Caenorhabditis elegans: one gene and its partners. The protein of the gene in region 1 purifies or fractionates together with the protein of each later gene. This does not show direct contact. Each region holds a gene or a part of one and is shown on either strand. Other genes may lie near its edges.

Region 1 (6,683 bases):
ATAAAACCTTTTTTCAGAGCCGCCTGGAATGCATCTTCTGCAAAGATAGCCACACGAGATCCATTGTGAATTGTCCAAATATTCGAAAAATCTCGGATCGGACGAATATTCTTATTGTGCAAGGAAGGTGCTTGAACTGTTTGCAGTCAGCCGATTAGAGCAGTTGCAGAAGAATACAAACAGCTTGAGAAAAATTGATAATACAGAGAAGCAACGCAAAGCAAAGAAAACAGATGTACGAGTTGGTCGAAAATTCGATGCTCTTCGAAACTTTATCGAGAGAAACATTGAAGAGGTGGCTAGAGATGAGCCAATTTCTGAACAAAAGGTCAATCATCGTAGCGAATTTTCAGAGCAAATCATCTTTGGTGATTATGAGAGAGGTGAATAAAATTTTTTTTTAGATCAAGGGTGTCAAGTCCCGTTTGTCCCGTTTATTGAGCGTTTTCACGGGAACGTCCCGCTGTCCCGGTTTTGTAATTTTTACGAGACATTGACACCCTTGTTTCAGATGAGTAAATCACGTAAATTTGTTTTTTTTATTTCAGGGCCAACATTTTTGACCGGAAATCTGGTTTCATCCGGGCTTTCTACGTTTACAATGGATTCGGAGGTGTGAATTTACAGAGCTAACTTAGAATTCAACTAACTATTTTCAGGTCTCTAACGATTCATTCGGAATCCCGGGAACGATGCCGTCACCAAAATATCTTGTCTCTCCAATCAGTAACCCTACATTTTCGAACAAGAAAACGCGCCTTATTCGACAGTGTCATCAACTCCACTCGAGGTTAGTATTAAAAAAATTCCTAATTTTTAAAAATCACTTTTCCAGAAATTGTGCGTATTTTGTGGAAATGAGCATCTTTCAATAGTTTGCACGTACTATAAAAGCCACATCGACCGCAGAAACATCTTGATTTCTAAGAAGAAATGTCTCGATTGTGCAAAGCCCCGAGAGGAGTGCCAAGATGGAGGGAAATGTGAAAAGGCTCCTCGATACTGTCATCGTTGTAAAACCGACTCACACATGAACATTTTGTGCCCGGAGATGTTTCCAGAAGTTATCGTCATTGATGATTGAGCTGTCACTAACTAGCAAATTCTGAATGTTTTCTTTTCTACTGAAATAAACCCTCAATTGTTTGAAACTCTTGATTTCTTACTCACGATATTTCAGGCAAAACTATTACTCATTTAAAAATCTTTTAGTGTGACTCATGGCTCTATGTGAAAACGTCATTATCGATGCACTTTATAAAGAGCTGATCAGTTTGAAGCGAAGAAAGATAGCGAGAAGAAAAGAAATTCTGAAGTATGCCCAACGAATTGCTAGATCATCGGGAGCTTTTACAAAGATGGTGAGGTTTGAAATAAACGTCACATTACATGGGTCCTGCCACGATAAAAATGAGTTACAGTAACCCATTGTCAGCGTGACGAGACCTAATGTTTGACAAAAACCCATCTTTAGACGTATACGTAGTCCTGTTTGCAATTTCAGATTCAAATTGGGGACTCGGGAAACCGAATGCCAACTGCTATAGAGAGCGAATACAATTTCAACTTCAGCAACGATGATATCAGCACTGAGATCCATCACAACGAAGAACCAACATCGAAGCCAGTGTCGTCGGAGACTTGTAAATTCTGTGGGAACAGACATTCTACAGATGAATGTACTGAATACACAACAGGCGAATCTCGTCGAGCACGTCTACAGAAGCTTCTCCTGTGCGTGTTTTGCTTCAAACAGGCTCACCCGTCGAAATTCGAGTGTGCTCGTCAACAGATGAATGTCAAGTGCTGCAGATGTTTGCGATTCGTACACCATCATGTTGCATGTGACCCACATACGAAGAAGTTTCAAATTAACTGGTAACCGTTTGAAACTATATAGTTGACTGAAATAAAATTCTAATTTTTCAGATGTACTTCTCACTCAAAGGACAAAACTGAATAAATAATTCTTAATTTTTCGAAATTTTATAATCCGAATGAAATCTTACTTTTTACTTGCATAATAATATTTCCCTCTACCTCGTTGATTCGATTCATACTTCAATTATTAAATCCCCTTATTCAACCTTAAATTAGTTGCAGATTAAATATCATAAATTATGCAAACATCCGCTCAAAAGGTTATTCAAGACTTGACCAATCGAGTACAAGCCGAGAAAGAAGAATTAGAACAACTTGAAAGAGAACGAGATTTGTGGAAGTACAATGCACAAATGAATGACAAGGAGGCTTTACGTGGAAATGAGAGAAAAAAGGTATGCGTATACCAAATTATGCAATTTTTGCCACAAAAATACGGTCTCAACACGAGCTAAATTTCGCAGCTACCGTAACACAAACATGCAGTATCTGCCCTATTTGTGCCACAAAAATCGCGAAATTTGACTAATTAATCAATAGGTTCAAAATTTCAGAATATCATGAAAAAAGGAGGCCCATTATGCTATTTTTGCAACAAGAATCATGTCCCTTCACTGTGTAGAACGTACCCAGACGGAATTTCTCGTCAGAAAAGTTTGGAAAATCAAGGAAAATGCATCAAATGTCTCAAAATTGGCCACCAAAACGGAGACAATTTTTGCGAAAAACATCACATTGTGTGTAGAACTTGCCAACAATCACATGTGAAGGCAGTTTGTCCAATTTTATATCCGAAAAAGGTAAATTTCATCCGGTGGAGTTGGAGAAAGTTCATATAATGTTTTTTTTACAGGACACTCCACCTAAAATATTGCGGGCTCGCAGACGTTCTCTAATTCGTGCACAGAAGAAAAAAGACTTCCAGGAGCCAGAAAACAAGCACGAGCAACTTACGAGCACAAAGGCGCCATGCCAGGAAAATTGGAGTGATTTCTAAACGACTAACTATTCTCACTCATATATCAAGCACCCAAAGTGTTTCCTTCTTCTCAGTAATTTATCATTAAAGTTTCGAGAAAGCCAACCGTAATAAACCGATTTTCAATTCATAGATAATCTTTATTAGCTATGAAACAGCTCAATGGTTATAATCAGTGGAAAAAATATTAAAAGTTTATTGAAATCAAATCGATTAAAAAACAGATTTTGATATGGAACATGATGTGCATAGAAAATGAAAACATGCGTTATCGCAGTTTGAAAGGGAATAAACAAATACAGCTTAAAATACGAATGAATTGTAGATCTGCCGGAGATTCTAATACTATTCACAGTTGAATTACTAATTGAAGAATTCGTCGAATTCGTTTTCGGTGACCACTTCTTCCGTCGATATGTCACTAGCGTCACGACTGCTTGAATCTGCCGTGCCAACAAAAAGAGACGAATTGTCACCATCAGACAAGGATTCTTCATCTGATTCATCTGACAAAGCTTGCGGGTCTGAAATTAAGATTCGATTGTTGTCAATTGAATTGAATAATTTAATACCAACCACCATAGTGTTCTCGATACCATCGTCGAACACTCATCTGCTTGGATAACACAGGAACATGCTTCAACTGATTCCCAGCATCTTGTTTATTCTTGGACTCTTCAATGGCATGAGCAATTCCTTCCGCGACCCGTTCCGTGTTATTGCTGTGACTTCTGAAATCATCGATTTTCAGATTGTGCACATCTGAAAAAAAAAACTATTAATAACGAGTCGAAATAATCAAATAAATTACCGATGGCTACACCAATCTCCCTGATGATGTCTTGTCGCAGCACATGCTCAATTCTTTTCGTTTTCAAAGAATCCATATTGTGGCTCAATTCACGAAACTTTCGCATCCTGCAACATTTAGTAATTATATTTATATTCGTTATCAACAACAGCTTACCACTCGACGTCTTTGAACAATTCTCTCCATTCCATCAACTGCTGCGTGACAAATGAAACCAACACATCCGGCAATCGATGACTCTCAACAACTGCAGCAACGTCACGGAGATCCTCGAATCGAAAGCAATCCATGACATCATCGCTGCGGTTCATAAGCTCTTTGTAGAAGGATCTCCAATATGTTTGTGACCTGAAGTAGACATCGAGAGTGTTGGATTCCTTGTGAAAACGTTTTATCTTCTTTTTCAGCGGGCAAAGTATTTGCATTTCAATCTCTGAAAAACAAAAGTATAAATTGAAAATTTCAGAAAAAATTCAAACTCACTATCCAAGTGATCGATTGCGGTTTTGGCAGATCGAAGAAACTTTTGAAACTCTCTGTCATAGTTTGTCTTCAATTTTGAGACGTGAGGAGTGTAGAAACCTGAAATATAAAGAATTAGAGATTCCGCTAAATCTTTTATTGATAAAACATACCAGAGGCGGAATGTGCCCTGTGCGTTTGCCGACCCATGGGTATCGGAGTTCCTGGCATTTGCTGCCTTTGCCGTTTTGCTTTTACCGGTGTGTTCATCTAAATTGTACAAAAATTGACCAAATGAAGCAAAAAAACAACGAAGAAAGCTATGTATTTAAGATAAAAATTAATTTTAACAGTGTAATTGGCGCCCGAATACCCGCTTGTTCAATTTTCGTTTCGAGACCCACGACTGGAAGATGGGCACGCACCTTGAAATGTAGATTTACGGAGCCGATCGATTTATTTTAGAATTTTTATAAAAAAGATGAAATAAAACCCGTCCGAAAAGTGAGAGAACGTGAGTAATTTAAAAAAAGAGATATCAGTTGCATCCGGGGCATACGTGTAGAGACTCGTGAAGAAGAGTATCACAATCGAGACAAAACACAAGCTGGCAACTACCACAGCGAAAACCTTCACCAGATAGACGAGTTTCACATGCGTAGCAGAATCTGAATATCTTAATTGTCTTATATATTTTTTTCTTAAATCTGACGTACCCTCGTGTCACTTCAATTTGCTCAAAAGCTGACAGCGGCTGAAGATGTCGAAACGCTCGAGCAAGCTGTGGAGCTGCGACAAGTGTAAGTTTGCAAACCGGGCATTCAGCTGGAATCGAGCAGTGACGTGCTCCGCACTGTGTACAAATGAATCCACGAGATGAGATTGGCTTCGTGTCAGGATGACTGAATTAGCAAAAATTAGCTTTAAAAGAAGTTCATTTAAAAAAACCTCACCAAACACAAAACGATCTTGTTGTAATCAGCTCGTGGTGTGGAAATCCAACATGAATTGCGTTGCATTCACTCGATTTTGCTGAGGACGGTGGGAGTGTATGCTTTGAGAATAAAAGTTGCAGATGGTCAGGGTCAAGAGCTACGGAATATTCTCCTGTAAATCATTATTTTGGAAAAGTTTATTTTAAAGAATAAAATAAAAATCACCTTTCGTTGCTTTAGCCATTTCCTTGCAAACGAACATTTCAGCAGACAGTCCAATAGCAGAACAACGAATATTCATTCGCTTCATTGTCTTGAAAATGTTACAGATTAGAAAAATCTACTTTTTTAGTCAAATAACCTCAATAGTGCTGTAAATATTTCCAGGATCAATTGTTGAAAGTGCTGATATAACGAGAACAACTTCTCGTGATACATGACCCGGCATTCCTCTAAAAATCAATATTTTATATTCTGAAAACGATTTTTAACTTACTTCAGGTTGGCACAAGCTAATTGAAGAGCGTTTTGAAGAGAAAAATCGCCACCACAGAAAGCTTCAGTTAGTGTGTTCAGCGATTCTTTTAGCACACGAATATTTCCTGAAATCCGTTGAAAAAAAAATTGAAAATCTCGAATATTGAGTCTAACCTGTCATCATTGTCAACCGATCTGCTTTACGATCTTTACAAGTGATCAATCCAATCTGAGCAATTGGATTTTGCTCGAAGAATCTGTCCAGGAAGGTTTGTAGAGCCTGGAAACATTCAAATACATGTCAAATAAATCGTTTTTCTAACCTTCATAACAACTACAAATCTCGATGGAGGCATTGCCTTGCTCGTCATGAATCGTGAGCAATCGATGACAATCATGACGTGGCGCATCTGAAATTAATTTGGAATTGCAATTTTGTAATTGATTTCATTTTATTGTGTTACAATTCCGAGGCGAATCCGTTCCGGTCTCTTCGTCAATCGGGCTTTTCGTTTGCTATCAGCCACGTATTTGGCAATTGATTTTTCGATAGATCCACCTTCATCTTCCACAAGGACATCATTGATGTTCAGGCCTGAAATTTAACTGATAATGGCTTATATTTCATAAATTTATTGAATAAGTGGTGATATTACTCGGAAACAAAAGTTTTGTAATTTTTGGGTCAAAAATACAGTCCAAAGTCTCGACACATCAATTTTTTGTTAAATTTTAAAATGTGTGAACCTTTAAAGAGTAATGTAATTTTAACCTTAAATAAAATATACGTTTTTTATCGAAAAGCTACGGAAAATGATTGAAATTCTTTAGCAAAAACAAGATTTTTCAATTCTAGTTTTTTGGGTATTAAAATGTTTTCCGATATTTTGAAAAATAATGTTTTTACCATTTTTTCTCCTTTAATTTTCGTTTTTCGCTGTTTAATTTTTGATTTTTTTAGACATTTTCTGAAAATATTGTTAAAATTAAATTTCCAAACCTTCTGCATATCCTGCTTCCCAGGTGTAACCCTTCTGCTCATCATCATCCATATTTATCTGAAACCTAGTAATACTTTTCACCTTGAATCCGGCGCGCACTTATAGGAATCCACACTGATAATAATTTCATCAGATTT
Region 2 (8,496 bases), 4.6 Mb from region 1:
AGCTTTCGCTGCGAACTCTTTTGAAACCAAAGTACTACGTGTTGTTAGGGGTACGGTTGGCGCAGGTTTATTACCTGGTTACTGTAGAGTCACTATAGTTTTGCACACCTTTTACAATCTCGACAGCATTCATTTTTAGAGATTCCTCGTCTCAAAAACTATATTTTCAGAATCAAACCGGAACCCAATCAGGCCCCTATCCTGCCCAGAATCAACCTCAGAATAGGAATCAACCTCCACCTCCACCTCGACAGCAGCAGCAGCAACAAGCTCCACCTCCCAATGGACAGAAGCCTCCACAACCTCAACGTCAACAACCGTCTCCAGGTCTCCCGTACCAGCCACAACCGCCTCCTGCGTATGGGGCTCAACAGCCATACTATCCACCGCAACAGCAAGTCGTAGTGGCTGCTCCTCCGCCAGTGGTCATTGTGGATCCTTATCCATGTTATGGAGGTGGAATGTACTACGGTGATCCATTCTATTGTGATCCGTTTATGTTTTAATCGAGATGTCAAATGAAAAGTAAGAAGAAGATGAAGTGACTTGAAAATATTTCCGATAAGAAATAATTGATAATTGATCCTTTTTTTGCAATAAAAATAGTCTGAGATTGTTTTCTAAAAATTAGTTAATCGGTCCGAAACTGGCAAATTGATCCACCAAAATTTATCCACGGGAAGTGTCGACTGCTGGCATTAGAAAAAGGAAAGTGTCGGCCGCTTCCATTTCTGCGTGAACGCCTTGCAGTTATTTTTTTGGAAATGATTTATTTTTCAAATGTTCAAACTTGCCGCTAAAAAATTTTATTCCCAACTTACTTTATAATCAAAAGAACTCAAATATATCGATGAAAAATGGGATGCTGTCAATCGAAGAAAGCTAGAAATAATCAACGGAACAACCAACGCTCGGACCAAATGGTAAGTCTCCAAGTTTCATATGAGGTGACCGTGCCTGCCTATAATCCCTGTTCCGGGTTCCATAAAAAAAACTGAATAGACACAAGGCAGACGAAGGTCGCCTTGAAGTCAAGCTCAAGAACTCCTCCTTGTACCTCAACTTTTCAGAATCGTCAGCACACTCAACCATCTCCAAACGCCTCGACAGAGCAAATGGTAGGGAAAATCGATAATTTTCCGAAAATCAATAAAAGAAAATATCGATTTTTCAGGCATACCCTCGACAGCAGCCTCAAGGGATCCCACAGGGACCTCCACCGGCCTACGCACCTCCAGCAGCACCGAAAGCTCCTGAGAAAGTCGTGGAGCCCAAAAATAGGAGAGTAACGATTGCAGAACCACCGGAGAGAGTTGCGGAGCCATCACCAACGCCTGAAGATCCAGAGCTTTTTACTTGCATCGACCAAACGGAGAAAGAGGTTGAAAAGGAAGTGGAGAAGAGAAAGTCTGCTCCGCGAGCCCCAGTCCCGGCACCTACACCAGCTCCTCAGGCAGCTCCCCAGGCAACTCCGGCTGCACCTGCTCAAGCTTACCCTCAACAACAACAAGCTGCTCCCGTGGTCTATGGATCCCAACCAATGGTCATGGGTGCTGCTCCGGTGGCTCCAGTTGTCATGGCTCCGCCGCCAGTGATCATGAGCCCTTATCCATATTATGGAGGTGGTGTTATGTTCGACCCATATTATAATGGATTTTATGGAGGATATGGATACGGAGGTTTTGATTTCGGGTATGGAGGATATGGTGGTTATGGATGCGGATTCTATTGACTTTTTTGAACTCTTTTGTGTTTTTTTGGAATAAATTTTTTAATTGAACACTTAAAAATCAACAGAACAAGATGAACAATCAACAACATAAAAATGGATATTATAACAAAAAAAACAATTAATAAATTCGCTTCGAAGCCCTCGTGATCGTAGAAAGGAACTTCTTGTATCGGGTTCTCTCAACAACTGGAAGATTCGTGGCGAGCAACGCGGATGCATTTTTATCGGCCAGTGAATGTAGTTTTGACATGGCAAGTAGACTGTCTGATCCATAGAATACTGCGTCTCCAATGATTGATGCAGTCAGCTGAAGAATAAAAATTTAGACCGTTTTTGAGAATAATTGAAGGTTTTTTTAAAATTTCAATTTAGTCGTTTTTCTTGGTAACTTTTACCAAAACATACTCAACAAGCTCCCCCTAATTTCGAAAATTAATAAGTTGACAGAATTTTTAAAAAAAATCGAGTTCGAGAAGAAATAGTGATTATTACAGATTATTTAAAATTAAAATGTCTATTTTCTTCTTTAAAAAAAAGGGAAATTTCTCAAGAAATACTAGTTCTCATTTTTATCAATTTGACAATCCTGAAAAAAAAGATAAAACGTTTTAAAATGGGTTTTCAAAAAAGAACTTTAATTTTAAATGTTTTTTAAAACTCTTCTCCAACTTCTACAATTTTTCTTCTTTTTTTTCAATATTTAAAAACTAGAAAAAAATTTATGTAATTTGTTATGGGGTTATTCAAGTAGTGTCGGAAAATTAAAAAGTGTAGAAAAATTACGTCACAACCTTATTCAAGTAGATAAAAACATGTATTTAAATACATTTGTGACGTCACAAATGTATTTAAATGCATTTTGCTACATTACTTGAATAACCCCATTAGACAAACGACTCAAAAAATAGTGTTCACGATTTTTTTAATATTAAAATTCGTATAAATTTTTTTAATTATCGACAAATGGACGATGTTCAAAAAACAATTTTTCAAATTAAAATACTTTTTTAAAAATTTTTTTCAAAAATAGTTTAACCATCGAAAAACTCCCAGTTTTTGATTTTTTATTTATTTCGAGTTTTCAAGAATATTAAATTTTTTCTAAAATGTTCAAAATCTTACCATTGCAAAATACGATTCATTCCTCTTCATTGCATCTACTAATCTTGCCAAATCCTGACTCAATTTATGACGGCGGAGCACAAATTCAGTTTCCATTTCAGGCGAAAGTGTACGCGACGCGACCGCGTTCAGACTATTCCTCACGAATTTTTGAGAATTCTTCAAAACTTGGCTAAAAAGTTGACAGAAAAGTGCAGTGAATGATTTTAGCACTGAATTCTTCGCCGATTTCATTGCTATATCAAGCAGATCAATCGTCTCCACAAGTACTGTAAACCATGATTCATCAGATTTCTCGGTTCCCGGAGCCCGATCCATTTCAGTCCAACCGTCGGCAGCAATTCGTGAAAACACTACTTGAACAGCTAATGATTCCAGTTGACTTCCACCATACATTTCAATTATCAACTTGAAAAGCTTCATCTCGTCAATGCTCTCGGCTCCAGGAATCTCTTCGACGAATTTTACAACAGAATCTGCAAAAAACTTGGGTAAAAGAAATTATTTTTTTTAATAGTTGTAATTAAAAATGATTACCAAAGACTTCCTTTTTCGTCTCCGCTGTATGAACTCCTTGGAGCAAGCTTAAGGCTTCTGCCACTGCAAATTCCGGCTCTCGGAGCTTCTCAGCGACATCCGCGGCGGTTCTATTCACAAATTTGACTGGAGCAGCTTCCTGAGCCACTTTCTTGAAAACCTTCAAAATATTCTCATTTTCAGATCCCTTTCCTGCTTTTATCAGCTTTTCCAGAACGTCCTTCGGTAGAGTTTTCAGGATTTTCTCGCAAAAGTTCCAGTTATCGAAGATTAGTGAAATATTGATTGAAAGAAGGGCAAAAGCAGCCGAGAAATTGTCGTTTTCCGGTTTTTCTGTGACATTGTGAAGGAAATCCTGAAGATTTTCGAGATTTTTAAGCTTCTTGCTAGCGGTAATTTGGCGAGTGTTGGAGCAGGAATTGATGATTGAAGGGAGATGCTTTGTGATTTCTTTTAGTCTGAAAAAAAAAATAAAGGTTAATTTAAAAAAATCCAGACTGATTTTTAATTTAAAATCGAGATTAATTGATTGGTTTCAACTGATTTTTCGCTATTTTTCAATGAAAATTATATAATTTTCTATCAAACTTTCACCATACTTCAACGTTTTCAAGTTTTCGATGAAAATGAGCTCCGAATCGTTGAGGTCAAAAGTGCTCCGTAAAACTGAAATCATCGCGTAGTAAATGCACGGGGACATGCATACTTCAGCAGTTTGGCATCGACGGGCAAGTTGCTTTAGCTGAAATTTTAAAAAATAAAATCGTCTGAAAATTTCAAATTTTTACCTCATTTTTGGCTAAATTATCCTCAATTACTTTGGCAAGAAGCTGAGAGCACGTGGATTCTGAGAGAATTCCAGTGTAGAATTCCAGATGATTTTCGTAGATCTTTGAGAGCTGAAAATTAAAATAAAACTTTTAAATAAAACAAGATATTTCTCACCATTTCAAGTTGATTCTCGTCGATTTTCGTTTCTGGCAACTGTCCAGGCTCACCGCCGGCTAAAGCACTGACCATTCTCATTCCAAAATCTTTTTTCATGGATTTCTCCGGTAAAACTTGATTTTTCCAGAATTCTGCCAAAGATTCAAGATTTTGATGGTCTCCATATACCTGATCAGCTAGGAGGAGGCTTAGGAAGGGATAGGCAAGAGCTAAGGCGTCCGCTGAAATTTTTAAATTGAATTTAAGTTCTTAATATTTATATAGTTACCTTTACGTTCTTGTCTCCACGTATTCTGAATTACCACAGGAATTCCTTGCTTCATGTTTTGCAGAAGTTTTCCGAAACCATGGCCAAGAAGATTAGAGGTACTGATGAACTCGTTAGCAATTCTGATTTCGTTTCTAAAAATTACATTTTGCAATTTCAAATTCAGAAATTTTTAAATTACATTGATTCTGAAGAATTGAGATGTTCTTCGATCAATTTCCAGCATGCCAAGGCAGAATCCACACCGAGAATCGAGAAATGTTTGCGGAAAATTGAAAGAAACGCTTCATCAACGTGCGCTTCGGATTTCTGAATTAAACTAATTTATTATTTCATCTCTATCACTATTTTCAGTACCTTCTCCTTACAGATCTTCAAAGTTGCCTCCAAAATCGCTTGCGGGCGCCGACTGGCTTGAATTTTGTTGAGAAGGTCTTGCGCGGCCTTGTTGTCGCCTGAAGATTAATACTTTATATGTTTCAAAGCGTTAAAAAATTACTAATAAGTGCGAGAGCAATTGGTTTTTCTATGTTTTCCTCAGGTTTTTGCGAGTGCGCTCCGATTGCGTCTTTGAGAGCACTTGTCAGCTTTCTGCGTTTTTTATCTGGTCCATCAGCCATCTAAAAAGAATATTTTAATACTTACGTTTGTATTTGATCATAGGAAAACAGAATAAAATTCAAAAATTTGGTTTTATTTGAAGAAAATCACGGAAAAAATTGGCTAAAAAGTGAAAATTGCAAAGGTGCTCTGTCGCACTTTTTTTTGGCGGAGGTTTAAATGAGTTTTTTAGAAAACAATATTAGGAGTATAGACGGCAGAAAGATTTATGACAAAATCATATGTAAAATGTATAATATAAAAGTCAATGAACAAAAATTATTTCAGTTTCTTAGAGAATATAAGAAGTTTCGACACAAACAGCGAAAAAAAAAATCATTTGAAAAATTACAGTAGCCAATCGCTTCGAGACCGTGGACAAAAACTTTGAGCTGCTGCTTTGACTATAGTTTGCGAAATTGGTTTTTTTCTTCAATTTTGAAATATGTTCTTCAAGGTTTTCAGTTTTTCTTTTATCAATTAACAATTTTCTTTGAAATCATTTGTTTTCTCTAATTAAATATCGTGTTTTCAGCAAAATGAGATTATTGCCTTGTCTAACGACTCTACTTCTCACGATATCAACTGTAAACTCGAAATTTGTCACAGGTAGTTGTCGTCGGGCTTTGAAAACGATATACATCAAATTTTATTTCAGATTGCACGAATGTTGGAGACGGAATGTACCCTCTGGGTGCCTGTGAACCGAGATTCCTAGCTTGCGTCAGCGGCGAGGCTCGATATATGGACTGCCCGGAGGATCTGGTTTATCACAAAAATCTGGAGTTTTGTGATTGGAGGCACAATGTGTTTGAATGTGGAGAGGAAGGAGAAGAAAACGAGTTTTCTGGTGATGGTTCCGGTGAAAGCTCAGGAGACGAAGAAATCACATTTGGCGATTCGTCGGGAGAATCTTCTGGCGACGAGCTGCTAGAAAATGGTACATTTTTCATAAAATAGACTTAGAAAACTACTTCAGTATGCAGAAAACTTTCAAAATAATTATTATACAAAAAGTCCAAATGTTGCTCTAGAGAAATATTTAAAGATTGTGTTGTAAGTTTCAGAATATTGTATGAAAAAGTGAAAATAATTATGCCCAAAAATTGCATTTTCTGACAAATCCTCTCCACTAATATTTTTCAGTGTGCGAGAGTCTCAAAGATGGCGTCTACTCCTCCGGCACTTGCAGTAGCTCCTATATTATTTGCAACTCCGGCTCACCTCGATTCCTCAGCTGCTCAACACCTCTTATCTACGATCCAACCAATAAAAAGTGTTCATGGAAAGGAATGATTGATGAATGTTCTCAAGTATCAGGAGAATATTGTGAATCCGATGGAAATATCTCAAAGTCCGAGTGCTCCAATGTTTTCTTCTCGTGTTCTGAAGGCATCGCTCACCGTAGAAATTGCCCGGCGAATCTTGTCTTCAATCCAGCGATTTCCTCTTGTGATTGGCCAAAAAATGTGATGGATTGTTCTGAAAAATCTGAAAAGCCACAAAACTGCGGCGAAGTCGACGGATATTTCTCATTTGGCAGATGCTCTTCATCATTTTCAGCCTGTACAAATGGCATTCCAATTGTCATGTTTTGTCCAGATGGGCTAATGTTTTCCGAGAAAAATCAAATGTGTGACTATGAATGGAACGTTGACGAGTGTGACTTGGAATCATCTGGATTTATGGAAAACTACAAAGCCAGTGAAGCCTTAACGCCCTGCACAAATATGGACAATGGTCTCTATGCTCTCGATTGTACCCCGCGAGTTCTATCGTGTCAAAATGGACGAGAGAATATTTTTGAGTGCCCACCGAGTCTGGTTTTCAATGAGAATTCTTTGATATGTGACTACCCGGAGACTTCTCTGAAATGCTGCATGGAAGGTAATAGTGATTCCAAATTACAATTGAATAAAACGATTTTTCAGACGCATTGCTCATTCGTGATGCCTCCATTGGAACATACGACTGCTCCATCGACGGGCTCTTCTCAAGTACTTTATGCTCCCGTAACTACCACAAATGCTCCAACGGCCAGCTCATCCCACACGAATGTGCTGATTCGAATGCTGTTTTCTCTGCAAGTGCTGCCAAATGCGTGGATTCTTCACTTCTAGAGCAATGCCAATAATCTGATTATAGCTGTATATACTAACCCTTTGCTGAAAAATATATTGCATTTTAAATTTTGTCTTGAAAATATTTTTTAAATTGTGAATTTTATACAAAAATAAATCTTTGCTGTTTTCATACGAAATGTCCACAAAAATTAAAAAAAAAACATACCAAGGGAATTTTTCTGAGTTGATTCAAAATTGAAAAAAGGTATCGGGCCGTTCAAGTTTCAATTTTTCAAGAAATGTTGGCTGTAGTTCAAAATTAATTGATGCGAAACGGATGAAACTAATTGAAAACATGAATTTGCAGTTTTGGCGCCAAATACCTTACGAGACCCATCGTTCTGAGGCGGGGCTTTTTCAATTGACAATGGAGCGCGTTTTCACGTTGACTTGAAAAATGAATTTTTCTGCCTACCTATAATAATTTTTTCAGGAAAATTTGAAAGAAAATTCAATTTTGAATGTTTCTAAAAAAAGTTGGATACAAATTTGAGAGTCATTAATTTTACCAGATCATTGTCATAACCAATCATAATTGTTTTCCCTCTCACCCTTATCCACTAAATAAAAACCAATTGTTCACAAAGTTGACCTTATCCCTTCTTCCTCTTCACATGAGTGATGAGCAAGAAGGCAGGTAGGCTTCTCCAGACGGGAACGGCCTCTTCTTATCCGTCAGCTGACATCTTACTCTACATCAAGTTGTGGAGGACATCTCTACGCATTGATTGGTCACTTTTGCTCATTGGCCTTCTTCCACCACCCCCGTCATCTGAAAATATTGTTTTTGATTAGTTGTTGGGAAGAATAGTATATTGTTTTATTGATCTCGTGTCGTCATATGCTTTTTTCGATTATAAATTTTTAGAGCTTGTAATAGTTTTTCTTTGCTTCTCAGTCAAAATGCTTTATGGATTTTTTTTAAAAAAGAGCAAAAACCAAAACGATCAACACAAAAACAATTGTAATTAAAAATTCTCTTTAAAACATTTTCACTTCCTATTTTTGATAGTTAACTTTTTTTTATGAATTTCACATTTTTAGAGTTTCAATTTTCGGTTTTCCTATAACTACAACATTTCAACATTTTTTTTGGAAATGATGTTTTAATTTACTATTCAAAAGTAGGTAAAACTCTTTGTAGTTGCTGTTGAATTCTAGATAAA
Region 3 (6,833 bases), on another chromosome or scaffold:
CTGTTTTCACGAAAATGTTATTTTTTGCTATTTTCAAAAATAAAGTGAGCGAAAACGACGAAAAATGTAAAAAAAAAAAGCTATGTTAGTCAACCCGCTAACTGAAACAATCATCAATTTTTAAAATCACACTCTACTAGAACGGAATTAAAATATTTTTGCTTTTATTCTAATATTAAATAATAACGTTTCTAACTTGCAAAAGTTTTAGTTTTTCGAAGGCCTTTTTTAAAGTTATTTTTTCGGATTTAGCCCTGATCTTTACCTTATAAAAAACTCCGAAGAATCCCTTCTTCTCAGACAACAGCCAGCTACTAACACGTGGAACTCGTTTCAAATAAGCACAGGTGCAGATGAATAATAGAGCAGCAACGACAAGACCGTCAAACGAGTAGACTGAAAATTATACCGTATTGAGCTGTGTCAGCCATCGAAATCTGAAACTCACCGTTCATACAAAACTTGTAGAATCGTCTGGCAAGTAAAAAGGTCTAAAATTCAAATTTGAAAACTCATTATGAGCGTAAAAACAATATCAAACCGAGTTATACGGTACAAATATGAACAAAGACGTAGAGGTGAAGTATTCAATAAACATTTATTAAGAATTGATATAAATGAATAAAATACAAATATTGTTTTGAAAATATTCATATTATTTTGGAGTGTTAAATTTGGCAAAAAATTTCAGGTTTAAACTTTATAATTTCTAAAAGCCGAGGCAATCGATGATTGATATCGATCACCGTCGGACCAGCGTGATTTTTCAGATTTTTCAGATTTAAAATTTTGAGACAACTTTTCTGGTTGATTGGCTGCAATAGATGGTTGAGATTTTGGAACTGCCCAGTGAGTTGACTGAAATTTTTTATTTTCTTTTAAATAGAATTAAAAGTTTCAACAAAAAAGCACAAGGACCGAACCAAAAAAACTCAAAAACACATATCGGAGCCAAAATTACCATCTGAAAAGTGTCCTGAGACTTTGTGAAGTCTTCAAAAGAAACTGGAAACGGGGAATGAAGCCACGAATCGTAAGTTTTTCGACGAGAATCACTCGTTAAAATAGAATATGCATTCTGAAGAGGTAACAACAATTATTGTGCGTTTTATTGATATTAATTTATTTTATTAAACTTCCCTGTAGCTCCATGAATTTTTCAGTCGAATTCGTGTTGTGCTCCTTCACTTTATCCGGATGGCAGTCGCGAACCCGTGCCCGATATTCGGCAGTTATTTGATCTATCTGAATATAACTTAAATTATGAAAATATTATTTTAAAGTTTAACCTACCGAAGAGCTTTCATCACACCCAAGCAATCGATAGAGCTTTGGCTCTTTTGGTTTTGCATCCAAAACATCCGAAAATGACATTACGCTGAAGAATTCTGAAATATTATGATAGTTTAACAAAAATTATCATAAAAAATGTAAAAGGTATTCTCATCGGAAATTAAACCAGAGTAAGTTTTCAAAAAAATCAAAACATTTGAAAATATGTATTTACTATAACAAACATTTGAAAATCAACAAAAACAACAACGAACAATTGAATAACTATTAGATCTTGAACATTTCACGCAGTCTCAGGAGCATCTTCGTTTCCTGTATCAGCTTTCCGTTTTCGTTTTCCATTTGTGAAAAATGAATCTTTCTGCTTTTTTACTGCATCACGACGTTGTTTCTTCCAGAGCTAAAAAATGTATGAATAATTTATATTGGAAGAAGAAAGAAAAATCGATTAATAATGACACTTTTCCGCAAAAAGATTGAGAATGAGATTGTGTATGCGTAACGAGAATCAGACAGTTAGGGAAAATTTTGTTATTTATTAAGATGGTGGACTTATTTGATCATACTGGAAATTGGTATAACTTTCTGAATCAAAACAATTTGAAATCTTTTTTGTATTAAGACTCGCTTGAAATAATAAAACAGAGCTCAATAGTCGGTCAGGCTCAAAAAAAAAACTACTCACCTTGAAAATAGCATCTCGATGAGGTGCCCATTTATCAATAACTTTCTCCACTGTTTGAGTTCTTCTGAAATTAGCCGCTAAACTTTTGATTTTTTCATCCGACAGAGGATCGACGAAAAACTTTGTGCTAACTTTCACTTTGAGTAGAGATTTTTCGATTTTGTCAACATTTCCAGACGGTTCGGCTTTACTTTGTGTTGGTTCTATTTTCTTTAAATTTTCTCCATCATCTTCAACTGCTTCGTCATCATATTTTCTTCCAATCATTGATAAAAAAGAGAAACCTCCAGTTGACGGATCATCACCATCTTTTCGTTCTTTCATCTGAAAATAATTTTTGTGTGAAAAATGTTTTTTTTTGTTGAAAACTCACTTCAGCTGAAAACGCGTCATCCATTTTGAAAAAGATTTCAGCTTTCTCAAAGCTCTCATCACCGCTTTCCTCGTCTTTTTCAACGACTTCTTCCTTTTTCTTTTCAGTTGAATCTTCGTCTCCTTCGTCACTTCCATTCCCATCTTCGTCCGAATTTGTACTTTCTTCAGTTTTCTTGACTTTTTGTGGATTTTTCGAAGCTTCAAAAGCTTTCATCCATTCCAAATGCTCAGGATTTTCAGGATCGAAACGAGTGAATGGTCGAGCTTTAAGTGTTGAAGACTCTATAGTATTTGGTTTTTTCTCTTCGACACTTTTTCCTAGAATTTTAGACAAAAGTTCTCGATTTTTATCTTTTTCTAATTTCATTTCTTGCTTTTCCGAGCTCTGCTCCATATTTCCATCTTCATCAGAATCACTTTCTGCAAACTTGTCGTCCAATTTGAATCGGGGATCACTATTGAAACGTGATTCTAGGTGCATCAGCTTTTCGCCTAAAAATTGAAAAATAGTTTTGGTTTAATTTATTTTAATTTTAGACAATACCTTTAGGACCAGAGTGTCTATTTTTGATTTCAAAATCTTCCTCCTCATCTTTATCGTTTTCATCTTCAGAATCGAAGAGTTTTGGACGTTTTGAACTGCGCGAGGTTTTCTGAATTATTCCAACTTAGTTTACGAGTATTGTCTTTACAGCAAACAACTTTATGAAATCGGGCAATTGCTGTTATAAGAGATTTTTATCTCAAAAAATTGAAAAACTTCCAACCTTTTCACCATTCGCGGCTGTTTTTTCTGTTTCTTCATCCTGATCATCCCCATCATCCGAATCTTCAAATACAATGCGTTTTGTCGTTTTTTTGTCAACATTAGCAATGTCAGCAGCAATTTGACGATCTCTTTCTCTCTGATCTTGAATTTTTTGCCTCATCGCGGCTCGACGAGCTTCATCTGAACGTTGACGTCTCTTTTCATCATTGTCTTCATCGTCCATTTTCTGAGATACATTTTGCAATAGTTTTTATGTGATTCTAATTATTTGAAAATCGCAGAAATTCGAACGGGAGACAACCGTTATTTGACAAAACTCAAACAGAAAAATGGAGATCAAATTTATTCTAGATAGAAGTTTGAGATGAATTAATTCAATCTATTAAACAGTGTGTGAAATAAGACAATTAACAATTTGAGGAGGTCAGATCAACAGTTACAACCAAGAATGAGGCATATTTTATGAAAAAATGTACTCGTGATGACAGGCGAACATAGAAAAAAGCGAGCTTTTTTGCTCAATATGTATAAGTTTTAAAAACAATTTTCTGCCACACATCTTAGGTCGAAACAGAAATAACCAGAAACCTGTCAGAGTTTGAAAGAAAATAATGATGATACAAAAGAAATGAGCGAATTTTTAAATTAATACGAGAAAATCTGAAAAAAAGATTTTCAGAAAATCTTTTCTAAAAAATAAATTATCCTTCTAGAGCCCTTCTACAAGCTTCAAGACTTTCGATTTGTTGATGTGTTGACTCGTAAAGGCCAGAGCAAATATTAACAAATTTGGTAAGCACTCTACGAGCATAGTGTTCATCTTCAATTGTCATATCAAACATTTTCCACATTGATTCTTGAAGTTTATCCGGTTTTGATTCCAAAATCTCGTAGAATTTGTCGACATAAAACTGAAATTAATTGTTTTATACAAAATTAAATCATAATTTTTTCTCACCTTCACTTGATTATGACGATTCATTTGGGCAAGAAGTGTATCAGCTTTAGCTTCAATTACATCCTCATCAGTGTCAATTTGACGTGAATATCTTGATACAATCCATTGTGCAAGCATAACACGAACAATTCTGTACGAGAGAGTTTTATGGCGATTACGAATAATCTCCATCTTAACAACTGCATCTGCATGTTCATGCTGAAATATGTATGACATTTGTAAACTTTCATCAAGTTATAACAACTTACATTAGCTTCTTCAACACGATTTCCCAATGCATTAATTGCCTCGTGGAATAGTTTCGACTCGCCAACTTGAGCCTTCTGTCTGTCTCTTAATGCTTCCCATCCACGTACTGGAACAGGAAGAAGTTTGTTTGGAGCTGGGTTTTCTTTGATTGCTTGTCTCCAAATACGCTCATCGATTCCTGAAATGAATGAAATTTGATACAATGCGAGGGAGGAAAACGAAAATCTTTGTTAATAAATGATAAACATAGTAAAAATAACGAGTAAACTAACCATCAGGAACTGTCTCCAAATATCTATCTCTTTGTGCTTTCGACATTCCAACTTTAGGAAGAACCCTTGTTTTATCCACTTGCAACTGCGATTCTAATTGGGTCATTTTTGGAGCATCATTGAGGATTTGAGCAAGTTTAATAGCTCCTGCAACAAATCCGCCTTCTTTGGCGATAATACAGATTTCTGTGCATCCATCAGAAAGTGTTCTCATCGAAGTACCAGGAGCATATCGAACTTCTACATTTGGTCCGCCACCAAGAATAGCTTTGATAATTTCAAGAATTTTGTCACGGCGTTCTTCTGTGTTCAAGTTTGTAATAGGATGACGCAGCACCAAAGTTACAAATCCCTCATCGTCGGTTCGCTCCGAAATACGATTGTATCCGATTCCCTGAAACGTGACACTGTGCAAGTTTTCAGTGATTTATAAAATAAACTTACAACAAATCGTTCAAACAAGTTTCCTTCCATTGAAAACGATAGAAGCTGATTTCCATCTTTGTATGGAGCTTTTCCGACACCCAAACCGGCAGCAACTTGATTCAACTTAGCAACAACTCCATCATTATCATTTCCAAAGAGCTTTGGATCTCCGACAGCTTTCACAAATGGGTGATACTGCTGAAAAAATTTTATTTGGAAAAGCGCTCAGATATTCTTAAGATTCATTTAATTACCTGAATAACTTGTTGCTGCTGAACAACAGGCTGTTGTTGTTGTTGAGTTGCTCCAAGACCACCAAGAGTAGACCCTGAGCTGGAACCAAAAAATCCGCCTGTAGCTGGCTTTGCAGTACTCGATCCAAAAAGCGTTGATCCCGCGGCTGTTCCAGTCGACGCTGCTCCGAATGGGGTCGATCCTGAAAATTGAGCCATCAAAATTATCAAAGTTCGTTAATTAGACAATTATATTCCAGATTCACGATAAAATACTTGAAGCAATGTTTTAAAGCTAATTAGACATATCTAAATTAATTATTTTTAAGATTTAATATTAGGTTTAGTTTTTTTTTTTTTTATTCGGTTTTTGATCTGACCCACCAAGTCTACTCAATTCTAGAAATATGAAAAGCTAATACAAAGTTGATGAATACCAACCTCCAAATGTTGAGTAGGGAGGACGATAAGCTGCTGGAGCCACATTCAAGTTGTTTGCCGGTGATAGAAAAGATGACTGTGGGGCATTAGTTCCTGGTAACGCAGATGGTGTGGCAAAAGATGTTGGAGTATTACCAGAAAGACTACCAGCCCCCAAAGTTCCTGATTTGAATGCTGCCAATCTTGTGGCAACGGGTGATTTGGCAGTTTGTTGTGTGGATCCAATACCGCCGAGACCTCCAGATGTCGTTGATGATGTTCCGAAGAGTCCTGAAGTTCCAGAAGTGGTTCCAGATGCCGGAGAATTTGTGAAAAGCGTGCGGTTAGCGTCATTGGGTGCTCCAAACAAATTGCGACGGGCTGGTGAACTAACATTCTGGGTTGCTGGGGCTGGAGCTTGAGATGCTGATGTCGTAGGTAAATCGGGAAGATTTGGAAGATTCTTCGGCATGTCTTCTGCTTTGATTCCGGTGATGCCCCCACGTCGGGCAAACATTTCTGCAGACGCTCGAGACGAAGAAAACGAGTAGCAAAGAGCAACACGGGTGATAGAAGAACAGGCAAAGAAATCCGCACGACACCGACCACGACAGAGAAAAGTGAAGGTAACGAACACAATGACGACGAGAGAAGTAGAGCGATAGGAGAGAAATAACAATTTTGAATAAAAATTAAGCGCAAATCACAGAAGTAGAACCTTGGTAGGTCAAATAATTTGTCAGATCAAAAAATATATTGAGTCTATTTTCTTTTTTCATTCATTTGTTGCTGGAATTTAGAATATAATTTTTTGGTCCAAAATGTATTACTTCGATCAATATGATTTATCGATTTCCCCTCCTTATCATTGTCTAGCTTTTCTCTCAACGAGACCACACAACAGCTAATAGTATAAACTAAGTAGAAGTGACCGAAAATATCGATAATTTTGAGTAGCTTACCGGTTGTAGAAGCACCGAAAAGACTTGGAGTAGCTGTTGAAGTGGTTGGAGCAGCACCAAACAAAGTTCCAGCAGTTGAAGTGGTAGTAGTTGAAGTGCCTGTCTCTGAAATTTAATATATTTCGGTTTAAAATGCAACTTTGATTACGAAGTAAGTTGTGTAAAAGTAAAAATATCAAACTTACTTCCAA

The links.
Region 2: the proteins of hal-2 (region 1) and R02F2.7 purify together in Caenorhabditis elegans (affinity purification with mass spectrometry, with the first as the bait; one study listed by BioGRID). This does not show direct contact.
Region 3: the proteins of hal-2 (region 1) and K07F5.14 purify together in Caenorhabditis elegans (affinity purification with mass spectrometry, with the first as the bait; one study listed by BioGRID). This does not show direct contact.

Annotation. Positions count from the first base shown.
Region 1 is NC_003281.10:10,084,183-10,090,865, forward strand, and holds hal-2 (Coiled-coil domain-containing protein), read right to left. Parts: upstream 4,672-6,683; 5' UTR 4,559-4,671; intron 4,404-4,558; coding exon 4,307-4,403; intron 4,254-4,306; coding exon 4,155-4,253; intron 4,105-4,154; coding exon 3,828-4,104; intron 3,779-3,827; coding exon 3,672-3,778; intron 3,623-3,671; coding exon 3,437-3,622; intron 3,385-3,436; coding exon 3,224-3,384; 3' UTR 3,006-3,223; downstream 1-3,005. Other genes in the region: T16H12.13 (uncharacterized protein), read left to right, coding at 1,221-1,361, 1,505-1,882; T16H12.2 (uncharacterized protein), read left to right, coding at 2,121-2,276, 2,436-2,681, 2,735-2,878; gtf-2H2C (General transcription factor IIH subunit 2), read right to left, coding at 4,672-4,801, 4,850-5,035, 5,087-5,240, 5,294-5,381, 5,430-5,520, 5,565-5,670, 5,720-5,825, 5,869-5,955 and 2 more.
Region 2 is NC_003281.10:5,478,547-5,487,042, forward strand, and holds R02F2.7 (Myb-binding protein 1A-like protein), read right to left. Parts: upstream 5,228-8,496; coding exon 5,107-5,227; intron 5,063-5,106; coding exon 4,965-5,062; intron 4,917-4,964; coding exon 4,789-4,916; intron 4,742-4,788; coding exon 4,608-4,741; intron 4,561-4,607; coding exon 4,337-4,560; intron 4,291-4,336; coding exon 4,180-4,290; intron 4,134-4,179; coding exon 3,991-4,133; intron 3,850-3,990; coding exon 3,392-3,849; intron 3,331-3,391; coding exon 2,855-3,330; intron 2,040-2,854; coding exon 1,851-2,039; 3' UTR 1,757-1,850; downstream 1-1,756. Other genes in the region: R02F2.10 (Prion-like-(Q/N-rich)-domain-bearing protein), read left to right, coding at 171-506; R02F2.6 (uncharacterized protein), read right to left, coding at 136-378; R02F2.5 (Prion-like-(Q/N-rich)-domain-bearing protein), read left to right, coding at 858-923, 1,071-1,118, 1,175-1,732; R02F2.4 (Chitin-binding type-2 domain-containing protein), read left to right, coding at 5,747-5,816, 5,866-6,147, 6,354-7,094, 7,139-7,341.
Region 3 is NC_003282.8:9,858,736-9,865,568, reverse strand, and holds K07F5.14 (NUC153 domain-containing protein), read right to left. Parts: upstream 3,349-6,833; 5' UTR 3,346-3,348; coding exon 3,121-3,345; intron 3,007-3,120; coding exon 2,898-3,006; intron 2,846-2,897; coding exon 2,352-2,845; intron 2,303-2,351; coding exon 1,979-2,302; intron 1,694-1,978; coding exon 1,577-1,693; 3' UTR 1,502-1,576; downstream 1-1,501. Other genes in the region: K07F5.22 (Protein kish), read right to left, coding at 266-396, 449-455; K07F5.16 (J domain-containing protein), read right to left, coding at 694-858, 962-1,081, 1,144-1,245, 1,294-1,374; npp-1 (Nucleoporin Nup54 alpha-helical domain-containing protein), read right to left, coding at 3,824-4,033, 4,081-4,278, 4,329-4,507, 4,602-4,995, 5,046-5,225, 5,282-5,463, 5,702-5,971, 6,643-6,747 and 1 more.